3 separate regions of the Mus musculus genome follow, and regions 1 and 3 are each reported to be linked to region 2. Evidence: microRNA targets listed by miRTarBase, many of them from high-throughput screens and not tested one by one. Region 2 holds a microRNA gene; each other region holds the end of a gene's coding sequence.
Evidence for each region. The annotated mature microRNA mmu-miR-34a-5p reads UGGCAGUGUCUUAGCUGGUUGU and lies in region 2 at 2,778-2,799, opposite strand. An mRNA with a match to its seed (bases 2 to 7 or 8) in the 3' UTR can be bound and repressed. Matches are read on the target gene's strand: a 7mer-m8 pairs with bases 2 to 8, a 7mer-A1 pairs with bases 2 to 7 and ends in A, and an 8mer does both.

Region 1: the mRNA of Bcl6 is a reported target of mmu-miR-34a-5p. Seed matches in the 3' UTR shown: 8mer at 3,291-3,298.
Region 3: miRTarBase lists Epb42 as a target of mmu-miR-34a-5p. Seed matches in the 3' UTR shown: 7mer-m8 at 698-704.

The regions. Positions count from the first base shown.
Region 1 is chr16:23,962,634-23,966,858 of GRCm38, forward strand. It overlaps Bcl6 (B cell leukemia/lymphoma 6), which reads right to left. Exons shown (of 10, transcript NM_009744.4): 10 at 2,417-3,635. The coding sequence ends at 3,492. Among named protein-coding and RNA genes, the nearest start is that of Gm31527, 24 kb to the right of the region's middle.
Region 2 is chr4:150,067,047-150,071,271 of GRCm38, reverse strand. Mir34a (microRNA 34a) reads right to left here and starts at 2,818; the gene lies at 2,717-2,818.
Region 3 is chr2:121,015,638-121,019,857 of GRCm38, reverse strand. Epb42 (erythrocyte membrane protein band 4.2) reads left to right here. Exons shown (of 13, transcript NM_013513.3): 13 at 245-1,967. The coding sequence ends at 407. Ccndbp1 (cyclin D-type binding-protein 1) reads right to left here. Exons shown (of 11, transcript NM_010761.2): 10 at 3,681-3,727; 11 at 2,946-3,459. The coding sequence ends at 3,345. Among named protein-coding and RNA genes, the nearest start is that of Ccndbp1, 9.3 kb to the right of the region's middle.

The sequences.
Region 1 (4,225 bases), not on the chromosome of region 2:
CACTTAATGAGAGAGTTCTTGCCACTCTGCCACTTTCAGCTCCTTAACAGCTCTGCTTGTGTGGACTCACCCGGTCTACAGGCCTGCTGCTGTGGCTTAGGTATAGAGTCAAGCTCCCAAGCCCTCCAAAAGCAATTGTTTTAAAATGCTTGTCCTCAGGTGGTAGCACTATTCTAGAAGGTTCTGGAAACTTTAGAAGGTGAGACCTATATGGAGGAGATAGGTCACTCAGCACATGCCCTTGAGACAGTGTCATCTTCTTTCTCTCTCTTTGCTTCCTGTCTGTCATGATATTCTGTCTCATCACAAGTTGAGTTAGCAGAGCCAAGGACAATGGACAGGAACACCTGAAGTTGTGACCTTAAAGACATCAAAACTGTGAGCTTAAAGACTTCAACCCTTCTTTGCTGAGACGGGAGTTCTGACAAACAAAACCTGTGCTACCTCTACTCTAGCTAGAGTCATCTGGGAAGTAGGACCCTCAGCTGAGAGAATGCTGCCACAGACTGGCCTGTTGACAGTTTCTGGGGGGCAGTTTCCTGATTTACAATTGATGTGGGAGGGTCCTGAGCAGATGGACCAGGATTGGATCGGAAGCTGAGCAAGCCACAGTGCACAAGCAAGCAGCGATCCTCCATGGTCTCTGCTTCAGTTCCTGGCACCAGGTTCCTGCCTTGAGTTCCTGCCCCGACTTCCTTCTGTGGTGGACTGTGGTTAGGAAATGTAAGCCCAATAAACCCTTTCTTCCCCAAATTGCATTTGGTCTGTGTTTTATTATAGCAAAAGAAAGTGAACGGAAGCCAAAGCTAATACACCTTCCTCAATACACACTTCAACCTGCGGTCCTAGTAAACCTTTCCCTCAAAAACTTCCATGATGCAGAGAGTCTTAAACACATCCTAGTGTTTGAGACACCTTTGTGTGTGTGTGTGTGTGTGTGTGTGTGTGTGTCTGTCTGTCTGTGTGTGTGTCTGTGTCTGTGTGTGTCTGTGTGTGAAAATGCATTCACTCCATGATTTTGTAATAAAATTCTCTCTCCCCTTTGCTGTGGGCTATACTCTTAATAACTCCGTTTAGAGATGTTTCCCTTTTACTTATTATTAATCATCGGCTGACTGCAGTAGCTCAGTCTTTGATCTCCCTTTTGTCGGAACGCCACCCTCCCCGTCTGCTCCTCCGTCTCCCTCATAAATAGGAATGGTACAAAAACAGACTCTCGGGAGCAAAAGGAGCCTGAGGCCAGCTTCCCTCAGGCCCGTGAATTGTCATTCCTGAAGCTGTCTAGTCCGTAAGTTCTTCTGCCAGGTTTCTATGGGAGCTGAGGGATCGGTTTCCCCCTTTTCAAAGAGCAGGGTGAGTTGAGGCCTCGAGCTGGCAAGTCCTTTAAAGTCATTTTCAAAGGAAACCCGAGCTGCAAGGCCTTGCGGTTGGCAGAAGGTGGCGTGACTTTCTGAAGCTCTCTTGGGACTTCGGGTGGGCAACTCCCCTAGCTTCTCAACACGTGCCCAGAGACGGCAGCAACACCACTGCCAGGAGCTGACCAGTAAGTAGGCACGTGTTCCCTCCCCACTGCCACCCAGGAACAGGAAGGGGACGCAGGCTTTCTCTTCTGGGCCCATTACCAGAACCACACTTGTCTCCCCAGTTCTCAGATCCTGTCAATCATACTTGGTCCTTGGGGTTTTCTGAGGTAAAATATCCACGGGTGCCAAAGCAGGCCAGCGTGAACTTACATCTGAATCACGGATGCATAAATGGTCTCGTTAATCCAGTCTACTCTTGGATGGGCTGGGACAGAGACCCACAGCAAAAATAGCGACCTGACGCACACAGGAGGAGGTGGCTGAGTTCTGACACTGGGGTAGAGGCTTGCTTGGCCTCTGGCCAATCATAAAGCTTTCAAGTCTGTGAATGTCTGTCGGTCACCCAGGAGGCTCTGAATGCGTGGATGCCGAGAGATGTGTGTGGCTTCAGCCGGATGCCTTTGACCTGCCAGGCGTAGCCAAGTAAAGAAAATATGTTTCTAAAGCCAGAGCCAGGATGGGACTTCTTACTTTAGAAAAGAATAATCCCAGAGGTGGGAGAGGCTATGACTCGTTAGAGGTTGGAGAGACTATGACGTTTGTGTCTAAAGAACAAGGACTGCAGTTATTAAGAGTGAGGCTTGGAGCTGGGTCAGATACCCTACTTGACCTCCAGGCCTAGTGTCTGGGCTCTGTAGCTGATCCTGGTGTTCAGGATCAAAATAGGCAGGAAGCTACCTGGACAAGCCCCAGTCTGGCTCTCAGGCCAAGCTCCTCTCTCATACCTCACTGGCCAGCGGGCCCCACTCCCACGCCCCTAGAACATTTCCCACCGAAGCAAAGACCACTCTGATCTCTCTCCATGCAAAGACAGATCCTCAGAAAGAGCCAGCTCGACTTTTCAATGTTTTATTCTTATGTTTTGTACAGCTCTATTTTACAACGCACTAATGCAGTTTAGACACAGCCAAACCCTGTCTCCGGAGTAATTATAACGACAAGCATGACGCAGAATGTGGGAGGAGTCAAACATTCCCAAAGAGAGTTTAGTTAGTGACAACTTCAAGTCCCTGTGTCTGCCTACACTTCAAAAAGGGATGGCGCACACCCGTCCATCATTGAAAACTTCCGTGTAAAAAGGCACCGTGAGGACACATTACAGGTATGTACAAACTGAAAACTGGAACAAAAGTATACATTTCTCCTTCTGCAGCTTTTTTTTTTGTTCTTTTTGTTTTTAATACACACTTTGTAAATTTGTAAACCTTCACTTGCAAAAAAATACAAATACACGGAGGCATTTTAGACAAAATATTTTCTTACTTATACAGACGCAATACTTAAAATAGTCTCTTAAGTGCTCTTTCTCAATAAAGATTCTCAGATCCGTGTCTGCCTGCAGATACAAAATCGAGCCTTTAACACAGTTTTATATTTTCAATATATCTTTTTAGGTTTATATATTTATATTATATATATATATATTTATATATTTACAACTCTGCCATATATTCCTTCACCTTTGGTTAAAAAAATTAAAGCCTTCTCTTTGACAGCATACTGAAGTCTTGTCTTTTAAAACAATACACATTTACATACAAAAGAGACCTCTGTTCCCACACATCATTTACATTCCTCGGTTGCAACCTGTCAAGTCAGAACTTCTGCATTCTCCCCTACTTTGATATAGAAAATGAATTTGCTTTTTGCTGACAGGGTTTGCCTTACACATAGGAGAAGAAGCAATAGTATTTTCTTAATGTTTTATGGCAGTGTGGGAAGGGGAGCTGCCTTGGCTCCCGGTCCCGCAAACCCCACCCCCACCCCCACCCCAACTATGATTTGCACTAGTGGATGAGAGAGGCACTACATCATGGGATGACCTTTGTATAAAGTGTTACAGCATCCTTTGGGTAGATTCTGAGAAGGGGCTGGAGAGGAAAGGGCGAGGAACACTCCATGCTTCATTCAGCAGGCTTTGGGGAGCTCCGGAGGCAGGTCAGCGGCCGACACGCGGTATTGCACCTTGGTGTTGGTGATGGCGCCGTGCTTCTGGCGCAAATGAAGTCGCAGTTGGCTTTTGTGACGAAAGTGCAGGTTACACTTCTCACACTGAAGAGACAGCAGAAGCCAAGTGTTAGCTGTCATCCACTCGAGAAACGAGTCAGTGCTCAAAAGCCCAGAAGAGAGGCAACTCCGTGAGGGTTGGGTGCAGGCACCTCCTCCCTCTCAAAGGGCAGATTTAGAATCCATACAAATCTTGGCTTCCACTGGAGGTTAGGTATACACTGTGCAAATGCCCCAGCCTCCCCTTCAGCTCACGGGTCCCTCGGACTTAAGATGTCCTTCCCTGACTTAAATGCATGATTACAAGTCTTATCCAAAAGATAAGTTCAGATGCATAGACTGCCCCCATTAGAAACATTTCTGAATCTAAGATGAAATAATCCATCTCTTTCTAGCTCTCAGAGTTTCAGCCTTGCCTCACAACTGCCCTGGGGTACTGATGTCTTCATCATGTGGCTTTGAATACTTTGCATACTTTGAAGTACTTCTCAACCAAACTTGGTCATCTTCCCTGTGACCTAGCAGAATATACCTTCAGAAAACTGCAAAATCAATCCGATTGCAGCAGCACAAATGAACTAAATAGCATAAATCCATGGGGAGTCTTGAGTCTAGGAGATGGTTTTCTTTATTTC
Region 2 (4,225 bases):
ATCCCCCTGGTACTGGAGTTACAAACGGCTGAGCTACCACTAAGGTGCTGAGTAGTGAACCCAGGTCTTCTGGAAAAGCAGTATCCACTAAGCCACCTCTCCAGCCCCGCTTTTCTGGTTTCGAGCTAGCTTGTGTCAACCCCGTCAGCTTTGAACTGATCCTCCTGCCTCTAACCCTTCAAATGTTAGAATTATAGGTATGAGCCACCCCACCCAGCTGCCAGTTCTGAATTCTTATTACCTAGGCGTTTAAATTTTCTTCTTTCTTCTTTAGACAATGTATGTAGCACTATATAGTTGTGGTAGGTTTGACGCTACACACAGTCAGGCGGGCCTTGTACTTGGAGAGATCCACCTGCCCCTGCTCTCAGAGGCTTCAATTAAATACTAACAACCCAGGCATTTTTACAGCTGACTTCTCTCTAAGGAGGACACTTTTTCTTGTTCTTCTACTGGCACAAATAAAAGCCAAGCTGGACTGGAAAAGAAATTTTTTGAAAATGACTTCACTTGGGGCTGAAGAGATGGCTCAGCAGTTAAGAGCACTGGGTGCTCTTCAAGAGGACATGGGTTCAATACCCAGTAAGAGCTGAAGTCACACCTGTCTATAACTCCAGTTCCAGGGCTTCTAACACCCTCACACAGACAGACAGACAGACATGCAGGCAAATAAAAGTTATATACCCTTTAAACTCAAGCTGATACACATGAGAAGCCAGAGTATGGCCCCTTTAATTTACAAGCCCAGGGCCAGTCAATTGCTGAGGGGAGGAGGGTCAGGCATTCTTGACTACTGTAGGAAAACTGAAAAAATGTGAAGCCTGCGCTTGCAGGCTCTCTCGTGTGTGCGGCTTCGGGCAATCCTCCTGGAGGACTGTGAACCCTCCTGTCAGTGCTCAGCATTCCTGGCATGTCAGCTGCCCTGACTCAGCCCACGCCTGGCTCCCCAGGGCTGTGGAGCTAACGGAGTGTGTGGTTGAGTGGGCACAGGACATGGTCCACCCACCAGGCCCCATTACAAAGGGGCCCTCTGGAAAGGCAGCCCTCGGTGCAGAGTCTACTTAGGGAGAGAGCAATTCCTGCGGGAAGGGGCTTGCTGAAGAATGTGGCTGCACACACACACACACCAACATTAGGAGAAAGGGAGGGGGACGGGTGTGGTGACATGAGCCTGCCACCCCAGTACTTGGAAGGCTGAGACAGGAGGATTGCTTCAAGTGTGAGGCCAGCCTGGTCTGCATGACAAGCTGCAGGCTAACCCCGGGCCACACAGTGAGACCCCGTCTCTAGAAACCAGAGAGCCATCGGGATGGTTCAGTGGGTAAAGATGCTTGTCACACAAGCCTAACCAGCCTGCAGACCTGGTATGAAACCCACATAAAGGTGAAAGGAGAAAACGTACTTCATATAGCTGACCTCTGACCTCCACACGTGAGCCATGGCACTTGGAGCACCTCCCCAATGCACACATAAGAAGAAATAAAATAACTGGAAAAAGCCGGGCGTGGTGGCGCACGCCTTTAATCCCAGCACTCGGGAGGCAGAGGCAGGCAGATTTCTGAGTTCGAGGCCAGCCTGGTATACAAAGTGAGCTCCAGGACAGCCAGGGCTATACAGAGAAACCCTGTCTCGAAAAAAAAAAAAAAAAAAAAAAAACCCAAAAAATAACTGGAAAAAAAAACCCAGAAAGAGAAAGAAGAGAGGGGTATCTATCTTCAGTCTAAGGTTCGACCTCAAATGGTAGAGGTTACCCCCTCAAAGCCATCAGCATCCTGGGCCGGGCTTTGACTGAAAAGGGAAACTTGTACCAATTTTTGTTGCTGGTGGTGGTGGTTGTTTTTGTGTTTTTGAGGTTTTCACATTGTATCTCAGGATGGCCCCAAACTCATTATGTAGTCAGGCTACTAAACCAGTTGCCCTCTTGAATTCTGGACGTAAGCCATCAACTCATCCAGGTTTTCTGAGATGCACTTGAAACCCGCTTCATGAGAGGAGGCACTGTGGGTTCAACAGCAAGGCAGCTCTGAGCCCTGGGCCCATTCCCTGGGGCACCAGCCGGAGACTTCTGCACTCCACCCCTGCTATGTCCTGTGTCCTCGGCTACCTTTCTGTTTGAACCCGTGTGTCTGTCTGTCTGTAAGAAGCAGATCACAGCAGACCCTTGATGTATACCCTGGATCTCCAACAGCCCAAACGCAGAAAGCCTTCACTCAACAGCAGCGGTCTGCCTGGGCTTACCCAGACTACAGAGCTCAGCCCCTCTCTGAGGCCACGTGCGCTTCAGGCAGAGTTGCATGGAGCAGGTGGAAGGGGGCAGCTGGACATTCAGGTGAGGGTCTTGTGACCGTCCCCAGCCCTCCACAAGAAGTGTAAACAGCCAGCAAGCCCAGCAGGAAGAGTCCTTTTGCAAGAGGGCACAGCGGAATGCCCCAAGATGGTGGCTGTTTGGCTAGGAGGATCAACACACATCATACAGTCTCCTTCCATGCTGTAATTAGTACCCCGACATGCAAACTTCTCTTAGCCAGAAGTGCTCACACTCCAGACCCAGTGCCTCCCCCTGACACTCAGCCCCCGTAAACATGCTCCCCGTGGGGTGCTAACACCAGCCTCCCCAGCATCCCATACCCACCAGTATGGTCGAGCAGCTCCGCAAGTCCAGCGCCTCTCAGGGGTGTGGGCGTTGCTGACCTCTGACCTTTTCCTTCTCGGCCCAACAATGTGCAGCACTTCTAGGGCAGTATACTTGCTGATTGCTTCCTTAGCTAATACTCACAACAACCAGCTAAGACACTGCCAAAGAATTACTCACAGCTGGCCAGCCCAGGCTGAGGCGCCCGCAGTCACAGGAAGATGGAGAGGCTGCGGGAGAAAGATGTGTAGTGGACCCTACCGAGGTATGACACACTCCTCCAGCACTTGGAAGCCAGCACGCTAGCACAGGAGGGAAGCAGCAGGGTACAGCAGTGCCTCCCCATCCAGCACCCACGAAGGGCGCACTAGTCGGGATTCAGCTGGAGGGACAGCGCCACCAGGAGGGCTTCAGGAATGCCTTCCGGCTTCCACAAGGAGGCTGAGTCAGGAGGTTCCTTTGAGTTTAGGAGTTCAAGACCAGTCTGGGCAATATGGTGAGACTGAAGTAAAAACTGGAAGCTGAAGAGATGGCTCAGCGGTTAAGAGCACTGTCTGCTCTTGCAGAGGACCCAGGTTCTATTCTGAGCACCTGCAAGGTGACTCACAACCACCTGTAACTCCAGTTACAGGGACTCTGACACCCTCATCTGGCCTCCGGGGGTACCAGGCACACACACAGTGTATACACATCAGGCAAAACACGTATACACATTCAAACAAGCAAATCTTTACAAATAAAACTAAGCCAGTGAGATAGGACAGCGGGCAAAGGCAAAGGCACTTGCTACCAAGCAAGGGGACCTGAGTTAGATCCCAGAACACACACACACACACACACACACACACACACACACACACACACACGCTATGACATGCACCCCACCCCCAGTAATCCAACAAAGAGATGTGAAACAACAGCGACCTTCCCTCAACCAAACCCCGTTAACCAGTGAGACTGGTCAGGCCTGCAGAGCTGAGACTGGGCTCAGCAGGAAGTATAGTCCCTCAACAGGATGGCTGAAGCCCACCTACTGTCTGAGAGTAGAGGGTACTCTTCACTTCAGGGCAGTGACTCCGGAAGCTGGAGTCCTTCACACCAACACCTAGGCCAGTGTTTGGGTGGATGCCTGTGGACCCCAGGCCTCCAGTTACACAGAAAACTGACCACTATTCCCTGCTGGCTGCCTTAATATGCAGAGACTGGGCTGGGGCCGTTCACTTGTTCAGTCGATGGAGCCCTTGCTTGACAGGTGCCGGACGTTGGGCTTCATCCCCAGCACCGTAAACAAAAAGGATCCAGATTAGTGCATCTCTCAGAGAAGCTGACTTTTGAGGTAGCCGGCGGTTAACGGAGACCCACAAGTCGTCTGTGTACAAGACTGTGGGTTGTCCAACTCTAAATATGACATCTATCATACTCCTCCGGGGCTCCGCGGTCACCTAGGAACGGGGTGGAGCCAGAAGAGTTGGAGGCTGCAAATGTCTTCCGGGGAAACAGTATTTGCCACACACGACAGAGCCACTGAACACCTGAACTCAGTGGCTGTGACTGTATTCATAAGATCAGCAGAAGGTCAAGTCAGCCAAAAAC
Region 3 (4,220 bases), not on the chromosome of region 2:
CGGTAAGTACTATTACCAAGAACAGGGCCAAACCAAATCCCAGTGCTGTCTTGAGTCACACGGCTGCTCTGTATAGAGAAGCTCCTGTCTCCCCTCCTTTATGATCACTTCTGGCTTCCCAGCAATGTACTTAGATTTCTAAATCCTTGTGTCCCACATCTTCCAGCCAGGAAAATCAACCCATAGAGATCAGTGGAGCAATGATCCAGAGGAGAATTAACACCTATCTCTACCTTTATTTCAGATTGGGTTCTCTGTGGCCAGGAAGCAGCCTACATACTCAGTTCCAGTTCACCCCAACACATCTGGGGCTCCAAAGGCTCACTGTGGAAGTAGATTGTGACATGTTCCAGAACCTGACCGGCTACAGAAGTGTCCTTGTGGTGGCCCCTGAAGTTTCTGTTTAACTCCCAAACAACCCTCAACCGTCTAAAACTAGACATGCTCCAGAGGGGAATTCTGCCTACCAAGCAACAGACCAGTGGCCAAAAATCAGCTAGATTCACAGAAACCAAAATCCATTTTTTTTCCTTGTTTTTTGGTTATTTGGTTGGTTGGTTGGTTGGTATTTTTGAGACAGGGTTTCTCTATGTAGTGCTGTTGGTCCAGGAACTCACTCTGTAGATCACACTGGCCTTGAACTCAGAGATCCACCTGCCTCTGCCTCCCAAGTACTGGGATTAAAGGCGTGCGCCACCACTGCCTGGCTCCAAAATCCATTTGTATCAAGCCAACCTAAGGCAGTCAGAAACACTATTTGTCTTAGACTAAACTGCATAAGTGATAAAAACAAGCCTTTGAAAAGACACTCAGATAACTTCTCAAAGTATAATGAGATGTTCTGACTACCTTTTCAGAGTACATTCAGATTTGGGGTGTTCAGATGTTTCATACCATTTTATTGCTCGTTAACATATCCATTAACCTACAGGAATGAAAGACAACCTAATATTTAAATCTATTTCTGATGACATAGAACAATATTGACTAAAAATAGAATTTTCACATAATACTAAAATTACATTGATTAATTCTTTCCCTGGTGGCTATTGTAAAAGACCCAAAGATGAGTGGATAGAGCTATTATAACACATTAACATAGGACCTGAAAGAATAGACTAAACTTATCTATAGCTAGATCTTCATGAGTGCTGGTGTTTTCGGGGGACTCTATTCAGGTCATACACCACACCCCACTGCAGCTTTACCCTGCTTTCCAACATATGATCTTCTAGAGCAGTGGTTCTCAGCCTTCTAATGCTGAGGTCCATTAGTACAGTTCCTCGTATTTTGGTGACCCCCAACCATAAAATTATTTTGTTGCTACTTCATAATTATAATTTTGCTGTTGTTATGAATCATAATGTAAATATCTGATATTCAGGATATATGATATGTGACCATCAAAGGGTTTCGAAATCCATGGTTGAGAACTGTTGTTCTAGATGCACACAACATATAATTTCATAGCAATGTAGTTGGAAACAATGTATCAAATTTTTTGTCTAAATTATAAATTCATGCATTTTTTTGCTTTATAAAAGTGTGTTCACATTTGAGAATACATGTTATATTAAACAATGACAAGATGGGTTTGTATAAAGAAAACAAATCTTCTTAATAAAGTGGACAAAGCTAACAAATGAGCTGTGGTGGTTTGACTGAGAAATTCCCTAAAGGCTCATAAATGAAAACTCTTGGTCCCTAGTTAGTGGAACTGATTGAGAAGGATTGGGAGGTGTGGCTTGTTGGAGGAAGTGTGTTGCTGGTGGGTGGGCTTTGAAGTTTCAAAAGCCCAAGCCAGGCCCAGTGTCTCTCTTCCTGCAGCCTGTAGATTGAGATGTAAAACTCTCAGCTACTTCTCCGGGCCTATGTCTGCCTGAATGCTGCCATGCTCCTTGTCATGATGACTAATGGACTAAACCTCTGAAACTGTAAGCAAGCCCCAATTAAATGCTCTCTCTTATAAGAGTTGGTATGGTCATGGTGTTTCTGCACATCAATAAAACACTAAGACAGAAATTAGTACCAGGAGAGTGGGTTATTGCTGTGACAGACCAGACCATGATGATTTGGGGAGGATTATGGAAGGACTTTGAAACTTTGGGCTAGAAGTCATTGAGTGCTGAGGGCTCAGTAGGATGTTCTGTAAGGGCTTGGAAGATAAGATTATTGAAAGCAATGAAGACAGTGGAAAGTTTGTGAACTTTCAAAGGGAAGTAAAGACTCCATGGGGTCATATTGGGAAGAAGTCTGTGGTGTCTGCTCACCTGGAGCTGAAGAACTGGATCTGATTAACAAAAGAACAGAACCATTAAAGTAAAACCCTTGCTTTGCTGGGATAAGAGATGCTGGTCAGCTGGGGCTGAAGAATTAGCTGCGATTAAGAAGAGACCAGCTTCCTCAGAGTCAACACACAGAAGCTGTGTTCCAGGGGCAGCCATAGTTATGCCTTGTGCTGGCAGCCAGACTTGGTGATGTAAGTTACTCAAGTGGTGCTGTTTTTGAAGGTGTGAATGTGTCATGGGAGCAGCTGAGGCTTGGCAGTTTGTGGCAGGGTTAGAGTTCCTGAACTCAAATTAGAGTAAATCCCAGATATAGAACATGGATTTACTTGCACTGATGGAGTGTGGTTTTGCTTTGTTCAGATTGTGACTGTACCCTGGTTCTTCCATCTTGAAGTAAGAAAGTATTTAACTTATTTTTGATTTTACAGGAGCCCACAGTTTAGAAACTGAATTTAAAAAGAGATTTTAGGTTTTAAAATACACTTTTTAAGTCAGGGTCTTTCTGTGAGCTCTGGCTGTCCTGGAATATACTATGTAGACCAGGCTGGCATCGAACTCAGAAATCTACCTGTCTCTGCCACCCTAGTGCTTTGATTAAAGGTATATGCCAACATGCCTGGCTTATGATAGAAGATTTTAAATGACACTTCAGAGGACACATTAAATGACACATTTAATCACAGCAGGTTAGCAATTTATTGAGATCATTAAAATCTTAATAAAACAATATGCTTTACTGTAGTAAACTAGAGAACAAGTCAACTTCCTTAAAGATTTCCAAAAAACAGCTCAGAGCACAAGTTTATAGAAATTTGTGTCCAGCACAGAAGCATAGCACACTGTATGATTGGTGGATAACTGCAATCTCTCCTAGCCTGGAGTCTTGGTAACAATCTCTTCTTAAGGACAGAGGCTGCCTTTCTATCGAGCAAACACCCTGTCAAAGCTCCACTTCTAAAAGCAGACGTTAAAAAAACTTAAAAAATAAATAGGTAAAGCAGACACTGGATCGTGGGTGTGAGAGAGAGGGGAGAAAGAAGAGTAGGGATTGGAGGCTCACAGTTCAGCTGCACGCTGAGTGAGCGCCTTAATTCTGTTCATGCAATGGTCAACGGCATTAATGAGTAAAGGAATCCAGCTATCTCCTGGGTGGGGGCTCACGTGACTTGCTCTGGAATAAAACAGAAAAAAAAAAAAATCAAGTTAACACGGCGTGAAGGGAAAAGCATTCCCAGGAGGCACAGAGAAGAAACTACAGTAAGAGGGATTCCCCTTCACAGACTGGCTGCTCCACACCCCTACCCATACCCGCATGCTAATCTGAAATGGGGCAGAATAGCTGGGCAGATGATTTTAGTCTCAAAACACACAGGGAGAAGTCTTCATACTTACTTTGTAATTTCAAGAGCCTTTATTAAAACAGACACCAATTTCGCAGACTAGAAAAGGAACAGAGATAACATTCACTCTGAGCCATGGCACCAATAGAAAGGAGAACTTGAAGATACAATTAATGATGATAACAGAATCATTTAAAAAGAGCCTTAAAGTGGGTGGAGGAAATGTTTTGGTGCTCTAAAACCATGAAGACCTGAAGACCTACCTGAGTTTGAACTTCCAGCACTCATGTTTAAAAAAAAAAAAAAAAGCCTTGACTGATAAGGGCTGATGAGATGGCTCAGTGGGTAAGCACGCTGGCTGTCATGACAACCTGAGTATGATTCTTGGGACCCACATGATGGAAGGACTCCCACAAGCTATACTCAGGTCTCTACACATACAATGACATACAATGTGACTTACATATGCATACACAATCAATCAATCAATATATAGATGGATGAATGAATGAAGGAATGAATGAAATTTAAAATGCTGACTAGGTTCTTTTCTGTTTAACAAGATCTTAGGAACACCACTGGCATAACATTT